Saccharomyces cerevisiae S288C: one gene and its partners. The gene in region 2 interacts genetically with the main gene of each other region. Each region holds a gene or a part of one and is shown on either strand. Other genes may lie near its edges.

Region 1 (2,895 bases), on a different chromosome or scaffold from region 2:
AGAAGTTGTCGAGTTTTTTTAAAGTACATTTCATTGGAACAACTAGTGACTAGTTCGAACGCGGAAAGACAATAATAGTACCCATAACGATAACTCCTTCGTTATCTATTGAATAGCTTGCCTTTCAAGTAAATCAATAATCAAGTCTGCGTATATCATTTATCGAGCACTTCTGAAAAAGATACCAGTTACACTGAAATACAACGATCGGATTACATAATGAATAATAACAGCAGAAACAACGAAAATCGAAGCACTATTAACAGAAATAAAAGGCAACTACAACAAGCAAAAGAAAAAAATGAAAATATTCATATCCCCAGGTATATTAGAAATCAACCATGGTACTATAAGGATACCCCCAAAGAACAAGAAGGGAAGAAGCCCGGCAATGATGATACGAGCACTGCAGAAGGAGGAGAAAAAAGCGACTACTTGGTGCATCATAGGCAAAAAGCAAAAGGGGGTGCTTTAGATATTGACAATAATTCAGAACCAAAAATTGGTATGGGTATAAAGGATGAGTTCAAACTAATCAGACCCCAGAAGATGTCCGTCCGAGATTCTCATTCGCTGTCATTTTGTAGGAATTGTGGGGAAGCAGGGCATAAGGAGAAAGACTGCATGGAAAAACCTCGTAAGATGCAGAAGCTTGTTCCCGATTTAAATTCACAAAAAAATAATGGCACAGTTTTAGTACGAGCTACTGATGATGACTGGGACTCCAGAAAAGATAGATGGTACGGTTACTCAGGGAAAGAATACAATGAACTGATAAGTAAGTGGGAGCGTGATAAAAGAAATAAAATAAAAGGAAAAGACAAATCCCAAACTGATGAAACACTATGGGATACAGATGAAGAGATAGAACTAATGAAGTTAGAACTTTACAAGGATTCCGTAGGTTCATTGAAGAAAGATGATGCTGATAATTCTCAGTTGTATAGGACATCAACGAGATTGAGAGAAGATAAGGCTGCTTACTTGAACGACATAAATTCAACGGAGAGTAATTATGATCCTAAATCAAGATTGTACAAAACTGAAACACTGGGCGCAGTTGATGAAAAATCAAAAATGTTCCGCAGACATTTGACAGGTGAAGGCCTAAAATTAAACGAATTGAACCAGTTTGCTAGATCTCACGCTAAGGAAATGGGTATACGTGATGAAATTGAGGATAAGGAAAAAGTACAACATGTTTTAGTCGCCAATCCTACTAAATATGAATATCTGAAGAAAAAACGGGAACAAGAAGAAACCAAGCAGCCCAAGATTGTCAGCATTGGAGATCTGGAAGCTAGGAAAGTAGATGGTACAAAGCAATCTGAGGAACAACGGAACCACTTAAAAGATTTATATGGTTAAGTTATATCATTTGAATTTCCAATATCCTAGTCACGGAGCACGAGAGGTAAAGAATTTAGAAAAAAAAATGCGATGAGCTGAAAAAAATTGTCAAATATAAACTACATTCTTAAGTATACGTATATATCTTGCGCATTCACGGCATAATACACTAAATAGACACTTAAAAAATCGAGTGAGAACATTCACAATGGAGACCTCCAACTTTGTTAAACAATTATCGTCGAACAACAGAAAAACCAGGGTAAATGCACTCGAAGCGTTAAAGAAATATCTAACCGCTAAACAGTTCAAGGAGAACAAACAAATAGAATTCAATAAACTTTGGAAGGGTCTTTACTATGCAATGTGGTTCAGTGACCGTCCTAGACCTCAGCAACGTTTAGCCAATGAATTAGGTGAATTGCATGGATTATATTTTGATCCTAAGGACAATAGCACTGCAGATGAGTTGACCACAAACGATAAAGCATTTATAAAGTTTAGCAGAGGGTTTTGGAAGGTCATGTGCTTTGAATGGTTTAACATTGACAGATATAGGTTGGATAAGTATCTTCTATTGATAAGAAGGGTATTATTCAGTCAATTGAAGTATTTGCAGTCCAGAAACTGGGACAAAAAATTAGTCGACGAGTATATTAAGAAAGTGTTGAGGTGGTTACCTCTGAGTGGAAGTCCAAAGGTCTACACAGGGATTCCAATTCATATCGTCGATATTCTGCTGGACGAATGGGAAAGATTGCTTAAAGATGGAGATGAAGACGATGAAGACGAGGAAAACAAAGAGGAAGAGATGCGCAAAATTGCAGAGAGCGCAAAAAAAACGCCACTAGCCGATGTTATCGCAATTTTCCAAGATATCGTGGCAGATTACAATAACAGTAAGGTGTTGAGAGAGAAGATCAAAGAAGACCTATTCAGTGACACCAGACTTGTTTCCTGGGATATTCTTGAAGGCGAAACGCAACATAATGATTCCAGTAACGAATCTGAAGAAGAGGAAGAGGAAGAGTGGAAGGGATTTTGATTCTTCCTGGCGGTAGTATGTAAGTAATCGTAAGTCGCTCATATAAATTGTAGTTGTATATCTATAGTACGAAAAATTCATTACCCTCTGTGGATATTGGCGGAATGCGAAACACGTCGCCTTTTTTTCCTCGCAACATTTTTTTTATTTTTTTTTCGTTTTGAAATGAAAGAATACTAGTGATTAAATTAAACAAGGAAAATAGTACAGATTGGCGTGTATTGTCCATAACTCGTGTCCATTGTCCGCACTACGCTAGTTTACCAAAGATAAAATCACGTATAACATTGAAAAATAAAATGGCTAGAGCTAGTGAAAAAGGTGAAGAGAAAAAGCAGAGCAACAACCAGGTTGAAAAGCTGGTTGAAGCACCTGTAGAATTTGTCAGAGAAGGTACTCAATTCTTGGCCAAGTGTAAGAAACCTGATTTGAAGGAATACACCAAGATTGTCAAGGCTGTTGGTATTGGTTTTATTGCAGTCGGTATCATTGGTTACGCC
Region 2 (4,688 bases):
AGTTTAAAAATAGAGGGAATACTTGGAGATGCGATTGTTGCTGTGCAAGAATTGGTTTGCGTCACCTGTAATCTCACCACTACTGTATACCCGCTCCTTATATTCAATGGCTAACACTACTAGTTTCCCTATTGCTCCCCAGGCCCCGCCTAATTGGTCGTTCACTCCCAGCGATATTAGTGGGAAAACCAACGAAATCATCAACAACAGCAACAATTTCTATGATTCTATGAGTAAGGTAGAGAGCCCTTCCGTGAGTAATTTTGTGGAGCCTTTCATGAAGTTTGAAAATGAATTGGGCCCAATAATTAACCAATTAACTTTCTTACAGCATGTGTCGTCTGATAAAGAAATTAGGGACGCATCTGTGAACTCCTCAATGAAACTGGATGAGTTGAACATCGATCTATCTCTGCGTCACGACATCTTTTTGCAATTCGCCCGCGTCTGGCAGGATGTTCAATCGAAGGCAGATTCTGTGGAAAGAGAAACTTTCAAATACGTTGAGAAGTCTTACAAGGACTACATTCATTCTGGTTTGGAACTTGACGAGGGAAACCGATTGAAAATCAAAGAGATCAAAAAGAAGATCTCCGTTAACTCTATTAATTTTTCGAAGAATCTGGGAGAACAAAAGGAATACATCACTTTCACCAAAGAACAATTGGAAGGTGTGCCGGATTCTATTTTGACGCAGTTCGAGACAATAAAATCTGACAAAGATAGCAATGAAACCTTGTATAAAGTCACCTTCAAATATCCGGACATTTTTCCCGTGATGAAATTGGCATCCTCAGCTCAGACTAGAAAGCAGGCCTTTTTGGCCGACCAAAATAAGGTCCCTGAAAATGAAGCTATACTGTTGGATACATTGAAGCTGCGTGACGAATTGGCCTCGTTATTGGGCTATGACACGTATGCGAACTACAACCTGTATGATAAAATGGCTGAAGATAGCACTACGGTAATGAACTTTTTGAATGATTTGAAGGACAAGCTAATTCCGCTGGGCAGAAAGGAACTACAGGTCTTGCAAGATATGAAAGCCGAAGATGTTAAGAAACTTAACCAGGGTGCAGATCCAAACTACTACATTTGGGACCACCGTTACTACGATAACAAATATTTGTTAGAAAACTTCAATGTGGACCTAGAAAAGATTTCTGAATATTTTCCACTAGAGGCTACGATTACTGGTATGCTGGAAATATACGAAACATTGTTTAATTTGAAGTTTATCGAGACGAAAGATTCTCAAAACAAATCTGTTTGGCATGACGACGTCAAACAAATCGCCGTTTGGAATATGGATGATCCAAAGTCTCCAAACTTTGTTGGTTGGATTTATTTCGATTTACATCCTCGTGATGGTAAATATGGCCACGCTGCCAATTTTGGTTTATCGTCATCATTCATGATTGATGACACCACAAGATCGTATCCGGTTACTGCGTTGGTTTGCAATTTCTCCAAATCTACGAAGGATAAACCTTCTCTACTGAAGCATAACGAAATAGTGACCTTTTTCCATGAATTGGGCCATGGTATCCATGACCTGGTGGGACAAAACAAGGAATCGAGGTTTAATGGCCCCGGATCTGTTCCATGGGATTTTGTGGAGGCACCTTCCCAAATGTTAGAATTTTGGACTTGGAATAAGAATGAATTAATCAACCTCTCATCACATTACAAAACGGGCGAAAAAATTCCAGAATCTTTGATCAATTCATTGATCAAAACTAAACACGTAAATGGTGCTTTATTCACTCTAAGACAATTACATTTTGGGTTATTTGATATGAAAGTACATACTTGTAAAGACTTGCAAAACCTGTCAATTTGCGATACCTGGAACCAATTGAGACAGGATATTTCTTTGATTTCTAATGGTGGTACGTTATCCAAGGGTTATGATTCATTTGGCCATATAATGTCAGACTCTTACTCTGCCGGTTATTACGGTTATCTATGGGCGGAAGTCTTTGCAACTGATATGTATCACACCAAATTCGCTAAGGATCCGTTAAATGCCAAGAATGGGATACAATACCGTGATATTGTGTTGGCTCGTGGTGGCCTTTATGATATTAATGATAATCTGAAAGAATTTTTGGGTAGGGAACCTTCTAAGGATGCTTTCTTGAAGGAGCTGGGCTTACAGAACTAAATTCGTTCAAGCATAAAATTATACAATTATTCTACAAAGTGTTATTATGTTAGATAATCTTTTAAATAACCTCGTCCCTGGATAGATTAAAACCATTAAATAGCTCAAATCTTGGAGTAAAGCAGCAGTAATATGTCTGATATGTTCGTTATATTTTTTCTTGAAGTTTATCAACTTATCCTTTACTAGACCATTTCCCTCCCCATCCAATCGTTGATCGATTTTAAATTTCACCTTGCATAATTTTATTAATTTCCATACACATTTTATCACTGAAATGCACGAGTAACACAGCCAAACTTTCCGTAATAGCCCACTTACATATAACTTATCGTTGACCACGCCTAGGTTTTCCAATACTGCGAAGAAATCAAGCAGCGAACTTACACCACTCCATATATTCTCCCATATATCTTTTGCACTGATTTCAGCCGTATTTTTCTTCGAAACCATTCAACTTTCTTTTCTTCTTCCTTTACTTTTATTCATCTCCTCTTTACTTCTTACCTCAGAGTCGAACATTGAAATCATTTCCCGCGAATTTTTCGATTATAATTACCCTTTCTACTTAACAAGAAGCAATAAGAGCAAAGGGGCGAAATGCTTGTCCCATACTTTGGCTTTTGGATGTGACATTAGGAGCCTTATCTCCTCTTAATGCCTTAAGTCAAAAAATAGTTTTTGGGATATATCTTGTGATCAAATGCTTTGCAAAAGGGTAAAACAGCGTTTACAATAGGATAGCCAAAAGTAAAAAAAAAAAAAAAAAAAAAAAGAAGGAAGTTAGTATCGAGCTCAAACAATTTTAGTTTTGCTGGACATATTTTCAGTTTCATTACTGTATATTTGCAGCTTGGTTTTTGTCGCTCTGTAGTCTTGTTTCACACTTCGTCATTTCCGAGTTTCATCTTGCGACATAACTTGTTTCAACTTTTCAAGTGCGACTTTTTGTTAAATATTATGACATAGAAGAAAGTAGAACAGCCATTATAAAACAAAAGAGAAGTGAGAATACTATTAAGATGGCATTCCAAGATCCAACTTACGACCAGAATAAAAGCAGACACATCAACAACAGTCACTTGCAAGGGCCAAACCAGGAAACAATAGAAATGAAATCTAAACACGTATCATTCAAACCCTCTAGAGACTTCCATACAAACGATTACTCGAATAACTACATTCATGGGAAGTCGCTACCGCAACAGCATGTTACTAATATTGAGAATAGGGTTGATGGCTATCCAAAACTTCAGAAATTATTTCAGGCGAAAGCTAAACAAATAAATCAATTTGCCACTACGCCATTTGGGTGTAAAATCGGAATAGATTCCATTGTTCCAACGTTGAATCACTGGATACAGAACGAAAATTTGACTTTCGACGTGGTGATGATTGGCTGCTTAACAGAAAATCAGTTTATTTACCCAATTTTAACCCAATTGCCATTGGATAGATTGATCTCCAAACCAGGTTTCCTGTTCATCTGGGCCAATTCTCAAAAAATCAATGAACTTACTAAACTTTTGAATAATGAAATATGGGCTAAAAAGTTTAGAAGAAGTGAAGAATTGGTTTTTGTTCCTATTGACAAGAAATCACCGTTTTATCCAGGTTTAGATCAGGACGATGAAACGTTGATGGAAAAAATGCAATGGCACTGTTGGATGTGTATCACAGGTACAGTAAGGAGGTCTACAGATGGACATCTTATTCATTGTAACGTAGACACTGACTTGAGTATCGAAACGAAGGACACCACTAATGGTGCTGTACCATCCCATTTGTATCGTATTGCAGAAAACTTCTCTACCGCGACTAGACGATTACATATTATTCCTGCAAGGACTGGTTACGAGACACCCGTCAAAGTAAGACCTGGCTGGGTTATAGTGAGCCCAGATGTTATGTTGGATAACTTCTCACCCAAGAGATATAAAGAAGAGATAGCTAATTTAGGTTCGAATATCCCATTAAAAAATGAGATTGAGCTGTTAAGACCAAGAAGTCCAGTACAAAAAGCACAATAAAGCATCAACACATAAATCCTTGCTTAGCTCAATTAAATATACTAGTAAATAAGTATATAAACAATAATTTTGCATTTTATTTTACTGGAAACTCTTCTCAAAACCAAATTGCGCAAGGATTGATTCAGTACAATTATGCAAACTCGAAAAGTAAATAAACAAAAAGATACAGTTGAGTGAAAGGTAAATAAACATTATTCTACTTGATTTTCCTCTGTTTTTTCCATTTTTCTTTTTTGTCTTTTCGTGTTCTAGCGTGTTCACTTTTTCAGCCATGTAATTACTTAAATAGGAAGTTTACACGATGTTCTCGCATAAAAAGCTGGAAGTGCAGAACAAAGAGGAAGAAAATAGGAACAGAGAATTTGTTTGTTTATTTGTTTGTTTGCTTGTTTGTTTGTTTGTTTTGATTTGAAGTCGAGGTACTTATTCGAAATAATTATTTTGCCCAGGGTTTTGGATAGTTTTTTGTTTTCCAATTAGATTTTTAG
Region 3 (7,519 bases), on a different chromosome or scaffold from region 2:
GCCGCTAAGACTGAGCTTGTTCGTGCTTATGTAGGAATGAGAAAGATGGGTGACGATTCGAGATCCGATGAGAAGAGAATCACAGCTACCACAAGACAACTTGAAAGTATGATTCGTTTGGCTGAGGCGCACGCCAAAATGAAATTGAAAAACGTCGTAGAGCTGGAGGATGTTCAAGAAGCCGTTAGATTAATTAGATCAGCCATAAAAGATTATGCAACAGACCCTAAAACCGGTAAAATCGACATGAATTTAGTTCAAACAGGTAAATCAGTTATTCAGAGAAAACTACAGGAGGATTTGTCAAGGGAAATTATGAATGTTTTGAAGGATCAGGCATCAGACTCAATGTCATTCAATGAGCTTATAAAACAAATCAATGAACACTCTCAAGATAGAGTTGAGTCTTCTGATATCCAGGAAGCCTTGTCAAGATTGCAACAAGAGGACAAGGTCATTGTCCTTGGCGAGGGTGTAAGGAGATCAGTTCGCCTGAATAACCGTGTCTGATGCTGTCTACTACAATCATTCCCTGCGTAACAATTAATAAATACTAATTAATTATAGCAAGTTTGTATTTTTTACATCCTTATGCTTTGTAACACTATTCAATACTGTATGTAGGCTCGATTGAGTGGGCGGCTTTTTTCTTATTCCTGATTGGCTGAAAGAAAATATTGTTAAACGCACTAAATTTATCCCGAAGGATGATTACATTTAAAGACCGAAAAATGAAGATGCAAAGATCCCTCATATTTTCTACTCCAGTCCAAATCGACAAGATAAACCTGCCGATAAATCATATTTCAGAACGCTAATCAATTCATCATGCTAAGCAGGATCCAAAATTATACCAGTGGGTTGGTTTCTAAAGCAAATCTTTTGTCATCAAAGGCTTTATACTATGGTAAAGTCGGTGCCGAGATTTCAAAACAGATTTATTTAAAAGAGGGTCTTCAACCACCAACTGTTGCCCAGTTCAAATCAGTGTATTCGAACCTTTATAAGCAGAGCCTAAACTTTGCTCTAAAGCCTACAGAAGTTTTATCGTGTTTAAAAAACATCCAAAAGAATGAACTATTAAAATATGGCGCATATGGTATTCAGTTGATAGGGTTTTATTCTGTCGGTGAAATAATTGGAAGAAGAAAATTAGTGGGATATAAACATCACTAAGCTTTTTAATTCTATCTATTCGCAAAACCCTTGTATATTCGTTAATTAAATTAAATCAATGTACAAATAGAACAAAACTAGAAAAAAGAATATATATTCATCTCAATTCTATTTATTTTCTTTTCATGACATACAATGGCATTAAAAGCGATATCGAGTTATATTACATTAGCTTCTTGCCGCCAGTTATTTATGAAATAGGCCAATATAACTTTTCTGTAAAAAAGAAAACTTGACCTCAGAGCTTTCATTACACTTATTAAGAACAACATACTTGTTGCACTATAGTAAAAACTACAGTGAAATTGATCTCAGGATCATTAGTAATTTTTCTCACTATAAGAAAAAAAAAAAAACATATATTTTGCTATGAATTATAATAAGTAAATATATACATATATATGTACAGAGAAACTGACGAAGAAAATAAATCACCCGTTAATGCTTCTTAGGTGCTCTTGAAAGTTTTTATAAACTGAAGAGTCAAACCTAGAAAAGTTATTGTCCAAATCAATGAATGTTTTCGCAATTTGACAGCTTTTATAGTAATAATTGGCATGTTTTCTATCATCAGAGTAAAACTTTTGCTGTGGGAGTTCACCGTTACTATGAACTACTGTCTCTTCATTGCCTGCGTCGTCATCGATACAAAATCTCTTCCTACCCTCTCTGCTTTTTAATTTGTTATCGGGGGAGGGAATAAAGCCCTTGAATAATTCATAGGCGGCCAGAGTGAACCCAAATTGGGGAGAACTTCTTAGGACACGGGCTCCACCACCTTTGAAAAAGCTTCTAAAGCTCTCTTCCTTTAAGATAGTTCGGATAGCATGAAATATACCGTTATACTTTGTCTCACCTTTTCGAGGATCTATCTGGAGCCTTGTTTTTATAACATCAAAAGGAGTAGTCAAGAAGGCAGCTGGCATACCAGCAATGGCACCGGCAGTTAAAAGCTCCCATGTTTTTAATCGATTCCTCTTTGTTTTATCATTTGGATCAAAATCAAAGAGATCTTTTTTTAAATGTGCATAAGTGGGAAAATAAATAGCAGAGAATGGAACATCTCTCATTAAACATGCGGCTACACCATTGTACAAGCCCCTCAGTCCTAATTTTTTGACTATTTGAGTGGCAGTTTCATTGGCTTGTTGTATGTTTTCACCAACATAGTCGGATTGGACCTGTAGCCTAATTTTTACAATCTCTAACGGATTAGTAAATATAACTTGACATGCACCAGCTGAAGCGCCAGAAATAATTTCAGGAAAAAGGCTTAGCTTGCCGTTTTTATCAGTCAACCTGTTTCTCATAAAATCATTGACAGTCAATTTTATCGCCTTTTCAGGAGCAACTCCTATTAATTGTGGCCCTAAGCCAGAGTAGAGACCTTTTATTCCTTCGCGGGATATAATCTTCAACAAACAATCAATTGAGTTTTTGTATTGGGCTAAAGATCTTTGGGCTTGCATCCTTGTTTTTATAAAGTCTATTGGGTATACTACAGTTGCACCAATACAACCCGCAATAGAACCCAAGGAGAAATTGTACAACGAATCGAAAATTGGATAAAAGTAGTAATTAATATACAATGACTCATTTTGATTTTTTTGCAATTCCATTTGGTGAACTAAGTCGTTCAGGTAATTTGGGTTCAAAATTTTCATGAAATCTTCAATTGTTAAGTCAGAACGCATCGTTGCTTTATCTTTTTTACCTCCAAATACAGATTCAAACAAGCCAGTACTCGCTTTTGAAGCTTTTTTAACACCAGAGTCTTGGTCAAATCCATCCGAGAGATCATGATAATAGTCATTAAAACTTTCTAAATTTTTTCTGGATCTGCTTACTCCATGCAAATACTCATTATGGATAAAAAAATCAATATCTGAATCATAATGGTGATCATTTAATAGCTCGTCATCTCGATCTTGATTTCTCTTTCTTAATCTTCTGTTTTCCTTTGAATTTGCGACGATAGAAAATAGTAGGTTGATTTGGGAAGGAGAGAACTCAATGATATTGTTTACTTTGTTATACTGGGCGTTTAAAACTGTCATAAAGTCATTTTTAGTAACTATTTGTTCCCTAATATCCTGCTCATTCAAATTATTTTCAGTAACATACTTGTGAAATATTTGGTTCAGTAGGTCAAAATTTTGAAATAAATAAAATATATCCTTGAATACATTGTACGGAATGGAATTATTGTCCGCTTTTAGTAATTCGGTGTTTGATAGATTCAAGGAGGAAAATATATCTGCAGACACCCTGTGAGAGTAAAATAACCTTAGAAGATAGGTGAGTTGATTTTTGCTTAGGGCTAAACGATGCCCTTGTGAGTCCATCTGTGCCAACCTATCAAAACCTATAAATATTTTTTCATTCTTAAGATCATTTTGTAAAATCGTGACCAGAGAGTTTAAACTCAAATACTCTTCATTTTCATGATAACATTTGTAAAATTTCAGAAATCGAAAGTCATTCCAATCAAGTAGTAATTTGTTATCTTTAACAAAATTATCATCAATAGATTCGTGCAACAGGCGGATAGTATCTTTGAATTGGTTCAGATTCAAAAGAAGATCATCAAAGCTTAGAAATCTGTTACCATAATTAATTGACTTAATTCGATCATCTGCAGCCTTTAAATTAAACGACGAACTACCAAGCTCTTTTTTTTGTTTTGCCTTCAAATTCTCTACATCAAATTTCCTAAAGAACTCATATAGAATAATGAGATGATAATTATCATATTCTAATAAATTATTAAAATAAAACCAATCATTAAGCGTCAGATATCCCTTGTTTTGTTCATCAATAGCGAAGAAAATACACCCGAAAACGTTCTTGGGTATCTGGTTCAAATTGAACGAATGGTCCGTAAACTTCGAATAAATAGTCTTTGAGCTAGATATCAGTTCAATGAAATCGTCGTATGTTAAAATTAGTTCTCCTGTAAGCTTCTCCGTGTCAGGTTTCCCATTTCCTGCTGTGAGTTTACTGGAGTTCACTGTCGGCATATCTAACATACCATTACTGATACTAATAGGCTTGTCCTCTTTTGTAAGGACACTTGCAAAATATTTGAATACTTCCAATTGTTGCTTCTTTTTTCTACTGTTCGAATTGATTTGCTCCATAATAGTATAATAATTCTTTAAGGTCGGTAGCAAAGCTGCATACTTTCAAACTACGCTATGAAAGTTATGTACTTTTCCAGTGAAATATGTTCACAAAGAAGGGATCAGGCTACTTCGAAAATTATGGCAAACGCGAGGTTGTGAGATAAAACTTGAAAGTCTGGTGAGATTAGATATCAAATCTTAACATATAAAAGACAGGTTCGTCTTGAGGTATTTATCTATCTTCGAAATATTTTTTTCTTTGCTTCGAATACTGGTTAATTCTGAGATTCAATATATGTTTCGAGATGTTTTTCCAACATGCCGGCAGTACTCCCCTAAAGCGATGCTGCAGAAATTTTTCATAACCGCTTGCAGTGGGATGACCAATAAAGAAAGCTCTTTCTCCTACGTAAAACATAGATCATACTTACATGTAAAATATGAAGCGCAATTATATACAGTGTCGATTTTATTTAACAATTTCACAGCTGGCAGTTTACAAATGTTTTCATAACCATTTCATTAATCTAACAATAAATATGATGATTTACCAATATACGAATATAAACTAAACATCAAACATGTTATGACAAGTGGGTGACGTTTTCCCTAGGCTCCTTTCCAAACAATTATCGAAGAGTTTTCCGAATTCGCGCCCTAAATCCCAGTAGCTCTTGTTGAAAATATCTCTCATAAACTGCATCATCCCGCATAGAAAGTGGGTATTAGAAATATGTTGAAGTAAACTCGCTTTTGCCCAAACGTCATTCTGAAAGCTAACTACATCGAGTGAGCTATCCACATATAAGTTCCGATACATTCTCAATAGGTAAACTTCAAAACTTTCTATTGGAATGTAATTGTTCTTTTCCTTTAAATTGTTGTTTGCAATCGTCGATCCATTATTATCAGTATTGCCTAGAATGTTTCCACCATTGCTGTCATCTGGTTGAAAGCATTCATCCTTTGAGGCTTCTGTATTATCCCATATGCTAACTTCACAGCCATGTAATGCAAAATTACAAGACCAAATTAGGAGTGAAGTTAATGCAATCGCATAGGGTCTAGTAATCACAGGATCAGAATTTATATTGTAGCTCTTCACTACGGTTGGAACGTTATTTTCCTTAATGATAAACATTTCAAATAAGAACTGGAAGGCATAGACTACAGCTACACCCCCATTGTAGGGGTCCTTAGCGAACTGGAGAATCCTGCGACTGATCATGTCATATTCATCGCGACCAATTGGTACATTCATTCTCCAAGGTGCTCCTGCATATATGTAATAATCATGATGAAGAATACGTAGGACAATTTGAGAGATATGAATAACGGGAATTTTACAATTTGACGGATTATCGGAGGAAAGCAAGTCCAAATCATCATCACATAGTCCATCTCCATTATCCTCGTCAATTTTTCTGTTCGTTAGTGTCTCCTCAGATGGAGTACTTATCCTACATGCTTTCGGATCAGTGCAGCTTTTCTGAACTTCGTGAAGCCAATAGTTCATTGCAAATGATAAAATATCTTTCCATGAAAGGCCTAAATGATCAGTGATTCCGCCCCTAAAGTTAGTAATGAAATAGTCACCATTAACTTCCTCTTGACATTGAAATAAGATCGAAATTATCCCCGCCAAAAGAATCTTTTTACCAAAAAGACTCTGAATATTCCAATCTGTAGTGCTTTCCAAGTCTGTAGGGGTACTCTCTATTCCACCATTGTTGACTTTGTTTCTCCGTATATTATTATTTCGTAAGATTTGAATGACATTTTTCATTAATTGCATTAACGCAGACAAAAATGTATTATTCTCATCTCTCTTTGTGCTGCCATACCCATGCTCCATCAGAGTTTCATAGCTCAAATCATAAGATTCCCACACTTGATCTGGACAGGGTAAAGTTAGTTGAATCTGATTGCTATTAATAAATAAATTCCAGTATCCAAACACTACAGCATGTGTAGTGTCCATATAAAATGCGTAGAAAGCTATTCTTTTCAACATTTCAAAATCAATCCATCTTTTATAAACTTCTTGTGGGTCTTGAATTGAATTTTCCCCAGAGGTTTTGCCGGTTTTGACCATTAAGGGATGGCCGCCTAAAGAGGGCGTTCGCCTTAGCAATTGAATGGTCGTTCCGTGATGTAAAAAAGACCTTTCATGTAAATACCTGTTCGTACTTGTTTTTTCATATCCTTCGACTAATAATAAACTTTGAATGATGTAGGTTTTAGAAGGTGGTTGAAAATCAGCATGAGAAAAAATTATCCATCTTAGAGGACCACAAATTGGGTCACTAATCTGTTCACGATACTCGCTTCCCAAAAAACTTGCGCCAGTCATAATTAGTGCCAAATTCAAAATTGCAGGCTGTTTATCAACGTGAAAAGAGGGTTTGTGAAGCAGACCGTATTGTGGATGGAAGTTCAACCAGAAGGATTTTAACGATTTGTGTATAGATTCAATAGAGACATAGCGTAATTCTGGAACAAATGAAAACATTTCTTGACATTTTTCTTTTGATATCTTATACTTTGTTAAGGGATCCGGATGGAAAAATGACGGGACACTTTTCATAGAGTGACGCAACTGTTCCTTGTAGTTCAGAGAGGAATTGTTTCCTACTCCTGAATCTTTAGATGATCTCCGTTTTAGCTCGTTGATATTAAGCTTCTGACTGGAAAGATTGTCCTTCACTGAAGTACTGGGGTTATCGTTGAACTTCGGTTGTGCTTTGGGAATTTTAATGTTATCTTGTGGTAACTCAAACATAACTGGAGGATTCTGGAACCCTTCGTCTTGTTGAACAGGTTTTTCATTAGGTGGGATTGTATTCTTGTCAGAAAATGTATCTTCAATACTTACTTGCGGGGCTTCAGAAAGTTCTTGCATGAAAGATTGTAATGGGTCGCTGTTCAAAAAATTTGTAGAAAAAAGGTCCTGCATAACTGACAAATTAGCACCGCTAGAGGAAGATGTTAATGGATCTCCAAATGGATTCTGGGGTGGTAATTGTTGTTGTTGTTGTTGTTGCTGTTGCTGTTGCTGTTGCTGTTGGGCAAGCTTTTGCTGCTGAAAGTACTGTTCCTGTTGTTGATCCTGGGTAAGTGGCTGGAGTGGCTGCTGATATGAACTACTTGCAAAATTTCTGTCTTGATATCGTTGCTGCTGCACGGCTGGATTGATATTCATATTTTGGTCATTGCCA
Region 4 (6,180 bases), on a different chromosome or scaffold from region 2:
GTCAAATTATCTGTCATTGCGTGCTGTTAGTTGAGTGTGAGTTTATTCTAGAATATACACACAGATACTCCTAGCAGCCAGTGTTTCAACAAACGTGATGTTGTATATGCCTGATGTAATCACGAACTCGAACAAAAGGCAAAATGGTAGAAGGCAAGGACAAAGAAGAAAAGAGAAAAAACTTCCAGATACAAAGCTAACACACAAAGGTAAACGGTGATTAAAATGGATATATCGTTGATGTATTTAACAATCTTGAAAAATTCCGTTTAAAAAACATACCAATACGCGCAATAAAAACGGTTCTTATCTGGTACTTTACCTAGTCAGACGATTATTGTTCTTTATAAAACGGCCGCGTTTTTTTTCCAACATCACCGCCGCCATATAACTTTCGACATTCTTAGAGTTGTGGTATAAAGAGCAATGCATATACGTATGTAATCCTAATTGAAATGCTATCTTTGTAACATAATGAATGGTTCAGTTGAGCACATACTTACCATCACCTCCCTCGACAAATATGTCCTGCACATTCTCGAGTGTGATGAGTGTCTGCTTTATGACCATGTCGGCAACTGTGCTGCCGATATGTGGCAAAGCTGTAACATCCCATCTGCGAAGTAACTCTTGCTTAACGCGTGTTTCCTCATTTTTAAACACATCGAGACCACAGCTTGCCACTTTTCCAGATTCAAGAGCGTCTAGTAGCACATCTTCATCTATGCATGTGCCTCTCCCAACGTTAACTATCCTGACACCATCTTTACACCAGGCCAAACTTTTACGATTGATAATATTGTTTGTAGAGGCCGTACTGGGCAAGGCCAAAATGATCAAATCCGCATTCTTCCAAGTATTTGGATCATCTAGATCAGAATGGTACTTAGCGTTGTAATCAAGTAGACTCTTTTGGACGGGACCGGTCCTTTTGTAGTATTCAATGCTCATGTTGAACACTTTGTGCAAGTTAGACCCTATATTTTGTCCGATGGAGCCAAACCCCAATATTAGAACTTTTTTATTCATTGGAGATTCCATTTTTTTCCCGCCAACCGTGTACTTTTCTGCTAAATGTACCACTTTCCTATCCTTGTTAGGCTTGCATTTGTCTGTTCGAGAGGGAAATTTCATTTCCTGACCGTGGTAACTATCTGTAACAATTTCATACGAGTCACTAGAGATATATTTCTTACACTGTTCAACATTACCATTTTCCACGTATTTAAAACAATATTCCCAAAATGAAGTCATTCTAAAGCAGCTAATTGCTAGGAAAATAGCCAATTCTGTGACATGGTCAGCAGCATGTGGTCCAATGTTGCATAAAGTGATACCTTTCGATCTTAATAACTTACCGTCAATAAAGTCACAGCCGACCCATGGTACAAGGATTACTTTTAAAGATGCGGGGAAGAATTCAATATAACTCGAAGGGTTTCCTAACACAGTGAAAAACTCCTCAGTGAGCCAAAAGCCGTTTATTCTATGAGTTTCCAAAAATTTAACAAAATCATCCTTTGTGGACATCTCATATTTATAGAATTCTACCCTTTCTGCCAGTTTGCGATATTCAGGAAGATGACTGGCGACTTCCCATTGGGTTTTATAAGGCACCAAAATTCTTGGTTTGGCAGAATAAGTTACATCTGCTATGTCAATTGAAGTAATCATTGTTATTTAAAGGTTGCTACTTTTGTACACTCAAGTATTTTTCTGTATTTGAGAGAGAGCTATTTGTACTCCACACTCCACCTTTTAGATCTGCGTCAAAGTGTCAGAATAAACATACCGTAAAACGGAATGACTACCGCCACCCCAATGACATAAAAACGGAAGAAAAAGAGCAAAAACCGAGCGCCAAACTATCTTATTCAACGAATCAAATAACAATACAAATGCAGAGGTAAAACATTATTCGCCACATATATATGTACATATCTATATGTATACATATTTTTATATATCAATCTTTTGAAGAGCAAAGTGACCTCTTTGTTGTTATCCAAAGTTTAACCAGTCCAGTTAAGCCGGATCCCAGGGACAGAACGGCATACGTTCCCTTTGGAGTTTTTAAATTTAGAATATCTGATGTATTAGCCATGCAATCAAACGATAATCTTGCAATATCTAAATAAACAAGTGTCTTTTCATCCTTGATGGCCTTTAGTTGTTTGTGTATTAACACCTCTGCGTCGTTATTAACATTTAGGTCATTTAACAACTGTTTCCTAATTGGCGATTGTGAGCCATCGTCTTTATGGGCCTGATGCATCAGTATGGGTGAGAGTAGTAACGCGTTATTTTGAACTTTTAGTTGCACTTCCAATTCTAATTGTCTCTTCTGTAAGCTTTGCAGGTTGAGCCAATGGTCCTTCAAGCTTAAAAGAATGTCGTATTGCCATGCAAGAGACTCTTGTCTACTGACAAAGGAATAGAATGATTTATTTGTCCATATTTTCAATTTGTATAGCAAGTCTAATTCATCAAAGATACCATAATACAAGTCCAAAAATTCTCTCAATGAAGCTTCATTAAACCATATTTTCTTAATTTGGTCAATTTGAAAGTTGCACTTTCTGGTTTTATTGAATTTCCCCAAGAAACTGCACACTCGGAATGGTGTGCCGCCAAACCTTAAAATATATCTAAAAGTACTTAATTGTTGACTGATAAAATCAATTTTCTTGTCAAAATTTCTCAAAAGAGACAGGAGAAGTACTTTAATTACCGTGATTGGATGCCTTAGTGCGACTTTTACAGTCAGATTTTTCAAAATCTTGGTATAGTACGTTAATACGGAAGGGTCCAAAACAGTTAAATTTCGCTTAGACTTTTCGATAAACAGTTTTAATATATCCAGAGCGTATTTGATAATTTTGGCTAATTTGTCTCTACCAGATAGAGAATCCAATATATATTTTAAGATGGTAATATTATCCACCATCTTTGTTTTTGCTTGAGAATCCTCATCATCACTTCTCGAGGATTCAGTATGCGACTCGCTTCCACTGCCTGCACTGAACTTCTCTGCACCGGCGTCTGATGAATGTGGATGGGTATTGTCATCCTGGGCGTCCTGGTAACTTGCCCCAGAATAAGGTGGTGTTTCTGAACCGGAAACGATATCTGTCGTGCCAAACTGACTCATTGTTTTACGACCAGTTTCTATAGGTGAAGACTTACAGGGAAGTTGAGGATATCGACTCTATTTGTTACTTTCTCCAGCATACAAATTACCGATGATTCTGAGAAGAAAGAAGAAAAACGTATTTCAAAAATTATATAACCTGAAATAATAAGCCCAATCCCACCGGAATTTCATATACTATCACCGACCTGGAAAAAAAATGAAGAGTAAAAAGAAAAAAATAAATTTAGCGCCGCTCGGTTTCGATCCGAGGACATCAGGGTTATGAGCCCTGCGCGCTTCCACTGCGCCACGGCGCTGCTAAATCATGTGAGTTTAGCGCGTACCGAGCAAATTCACCAAAATATTTACATCCAATTTGCTCCCCTCACTCTTCCCCGATGTCGGTTGTGATTACTGCTACGCATGGCGACTCTTAATTTCTTTCAGGTATAGTAACATTTACTCCTTTAAGTAATTGTCTATTTTTCCTCGACACTGTATGTAGTTACCTTTCAAGGAAGCTATTCCAATACCATCGTGAGAAAAACTCTATTGGATACTTCATCTAGCTCGTATATATGCTTTTTAAACTTTATACCAAACCGTGTAGGCAAAACTGGACCGCCCGGTAAGTTCTGCTATTAACAAATTAAATAAAATTGGCCAAACTGAGGATTGACAGTTCTGAATATCCAAGATTACTGACTTCAATTTTCTCACTTCTCATCATAATATTCCGCTGATTTTTACATACCGTATATCCAATTTACGGCCCTTCACATATAGCGGCGAAATGATGGTAAAGCTACGCATACTGTCTGACAGGACCCTATTCTAGCAACCTTACATGAAACAAAAACAAACAACATCACATCATACGGATGAACTACGGGTGCAATCCCTGACTCATCAATGTTTATCATAAACTTAGATATCAACACTGATAAACCCCACCTCTATTTTTACTGGTTCTTCACTTTTTCGATGCCGCACCGTCGCCCGCGATCCCCGCCCTTTGATTGCTCCTTCCATTAACAGTTTTTTTCTATCCCTTACAAGAAGCCGAGACGCCGCGAAAATATCGGCTAGTGCGAATAGTCTCTAGCTCTTGCCCTTCGCAAAGCACCGTGCTGCTAATGGCAATCAACAGCGCATCGCCGCTCGCTGAATTTTTCACTTAGCGGTAGCCGCCGAGGGGTCTAAAGAGTATATAAGCAGAGCTTGCGGCCCACTTTCTATCAAGATCTAAGACTGTTTCTCTTCTCTTGGTCTGTATATGTTTTCTCAAAGTTAGCAGAAACAACAACAACAACTATATCAATAACAATAACTACTATCAAGATGGAAACAGGACCTCATTACAACTACTACAAAAATCGCGAATTGTCCATCGTTCTGGCTCCATTCAGCGGCGGTCAGGGTAAGCTTGGTGTCGAGAAGGGCCCTAAATACATGCTTAAGCATGGTCTGCAAACAAGCATAGAGGATTTGGGCTGGTCTACGGAATTAGAGCCCTCAATGGACGAGGCCCAATTTGTGGGAAAGTTGAAAATGGAGAAGGACTCCACAACTGGGGGTTCCTCTGTTATGATAGACGGTGTCAAGGCTAAAAGAGCAGATTTGGTTGGTGAAGCCACCAAGTTGGTGTACAACTCCGTGTCGAAAGTGGTCCAGGCGAACAGATTCCCCTTGACCTTGGGTGGTGATCATTCAATAGCCATTGGTACTGTATCCGCGGTTTTGGACAAATACCCCGATGCTGGTCTTTTATGGATAGACGCCCACGCTGATATAAACACCATAGAAAGCACCCCCTCTGGAAACTTGCACGGCTGTCCCGTGTCATTCCTAATGGGTTTGAACAAGGATGTCCCACATTGTCCCGAGTCGCTCAAATGGGTTCCAGGCAACTTGAGCCCAAAAAAGATCGCGTATATTGGGTTGAGAGATGTTGATGCCGGAGAAAAGAAAATCTTGAAAGATCTGGGTATCGCCGCCTTTTCCATGTACCACGTTGACAAATACGGCATCAACGCTGTCATTGAAATGGCAATGAAAGCCGTGCACCCAGAAACAAACGGTGAAGGTCCCATTATGTGCTCCTATGACGTCGATGGTGTAGACCCATTATACATTCCTGCTACAGGTACTCCAGTGAGAGGTGGGTTGACCTTGAGAGAAGGTCTTTTCTTGGTGGAAAGATTGGCCGAATCCGGTAATTTAATTGCGCTAGACGTTGTTGAATGTAACCCTGATCTGGCTATTCATGATATCCATGTTTCAAACACCATCTCTGCAGGTTGCGCCATTGCAAGGTGTGCATTGGGTGAAACCTTATTGTAGTTTATATCATCATCCCTTTTATCAAAATAAGCATTCTCTTTTTATTTTAGTTAAGCACATGCATACATAAATTTACGAACAAAAAAAGAAAATAAATTAAAAATAAAAGTAGTGTATCTTCGTTACTTTTCATTCTTTTTGGTTAACCCACGTCTAATTGCCAATACACTATCGACGATCACGGCATCTACACCTGCTTCAATTTGTATACTGGCATTTTCGGGATCATTGTTGTCCACACCGTAAGTGACACATACCAGCCCATTAGACTTAACCACTTGCACCAACCGTGGGGCCTTTAAAATGGGTGCTGCAGCAGATACAATCCCCAATAAATTCCACTTCTTAGCAAATCTTATACCGTTTTGTAACGATGAGGCTCTCAAATCGGCCATCTGTTCACTTCCACCTTCCGTCAGGAACAAGATCGGAATAACCGGTTGCTTTAACGAAAGCATGATGCAAATATCCGGATGAAATGACGAAAAAATGATGTCCCTACCATTCGCATTGTCAAAAACTACTTTTAACACGGTGTCAACCCAATGGTTCATTTCCATCATTATTTGCCCTAACTCTTCCTCTTCTGCCTCATCAAGCATGGGAAACTTACATTCTATGTTAAACCCAACGTTGGCAGGGATTTTCTTGAATAGTTCTTTCAAGGTAACAAATGATGAAGCTATTGAATGTCCTCTAGCGTT

What was found.
Region 1: mutations in PEX34 (region 2) and RRP1 together harm fitness more than expected from each alone (negative genetic interaction), as found in Saccharomyces cerevisiae (2 studies listed by BioGRID).
Region 3: of PEX34 (region 2) and AGC1, extra expression of one rescues a mutant of the other (dosage rescue), as found in Saccharomyces cerevisiae (one study listed by BioGRID).
Region 4: of PEX34 (region 2) and PEX25, changing one suppresses a phenotype caused by changing the other (phenotypic suppression), as found in Saccharomyces cerevisiae (3 studies listed by BioGRID).

The regions. Positions count from the first base shown.
Region 1 is NC_001136.10:616,970-619,864, reverse strand, and holds RRP1 (Rrp1p), read left to right. Parts: upstream 1-1,558; coding exon 1,559-2,395; downstream 2,396-2,895. Other genes in the region: mRNA splicing protein SLU7, read left to right, coding at 220-1,368; translocon subunit SSS1, read left to right, coding at 2,695-2,895. UniProt on the Saccharomyces cerevisiae protein: Required for 27S rRNA processing to 25S and 5.8S.
Region 2 is NC_001135.5:24,740-29,427, forward strand, and holds PEX34 (Pex34p), read right to left. Parts: upstream 2,621-4,688; coding exon 2,186-2,620; downstream 1-2,185. Other genes in the region: PRD1 (metalloendopeptidase), read left to right, coding at 29-2,167; KAR4 (Kar4p), read left to right, coding at 3,190-4,197. UniProt on the Saccharomyces cerevisiae protein: In concert with the three peroxisome divisional factors, PEX11, PEX25 and PEX27, controls peroxisome morphology and abundance under conditions of peroxisome proliferation. Maintains mature peroxisomes in actively dividing cells.
Region 3 is NC_001148.4:599,042-606,560, forward strand, and holds AGC1 (citrin), read right to left. Parts: upstream 4,317-7,519; coding exon 1,608-4,316; downstream 1-1,607. Other genes in the region: MCM DNA helicase complex subunit MCM4, read left to right, coding at 1-510; ATP20 (F1F0 ATP synthase subunit g), read left to right, coding at 829-1,176; SDD4 (Sdd4p), read right to left, coding at 4,870-7,519. UniProt on the Saccharomyces cerevisiae protein: Calcium-dependent mitochondrial aspartate and glutamate carrier. Transport of glutamate in mitochondria is required for mitochondrial transamination reactions and ornithine synthesis.
Region 4 is NC_001148.4:335,470-341,649, forward strand, and holds PEX25 (Pex25p), read right to left. Parts: upstream 3,152-6,180; coding exon 1,967-3,151; downstream 1-1,966. Other genes in the region: GTPase-activating protein BEM3, read right to left, coding at 1-17; YPL113C (glyoxylate reductase), read right to left, coding at 484-1,674; CAR1 (arginase), read left to right, coding at 4,475-5,476; GDE1 (glycerophosphocholine phosphodiesterase), read right to left, coding at 5,599-6,180. UniProt on the Saccharomyces cerevisiae protein: Required for regulation of peroxisome size and maintenance. Has a role in the import of peroxisomal matrix proteins. Imports RHO1 into the peroxisome. Also promotes peroxisome division and biogenesis.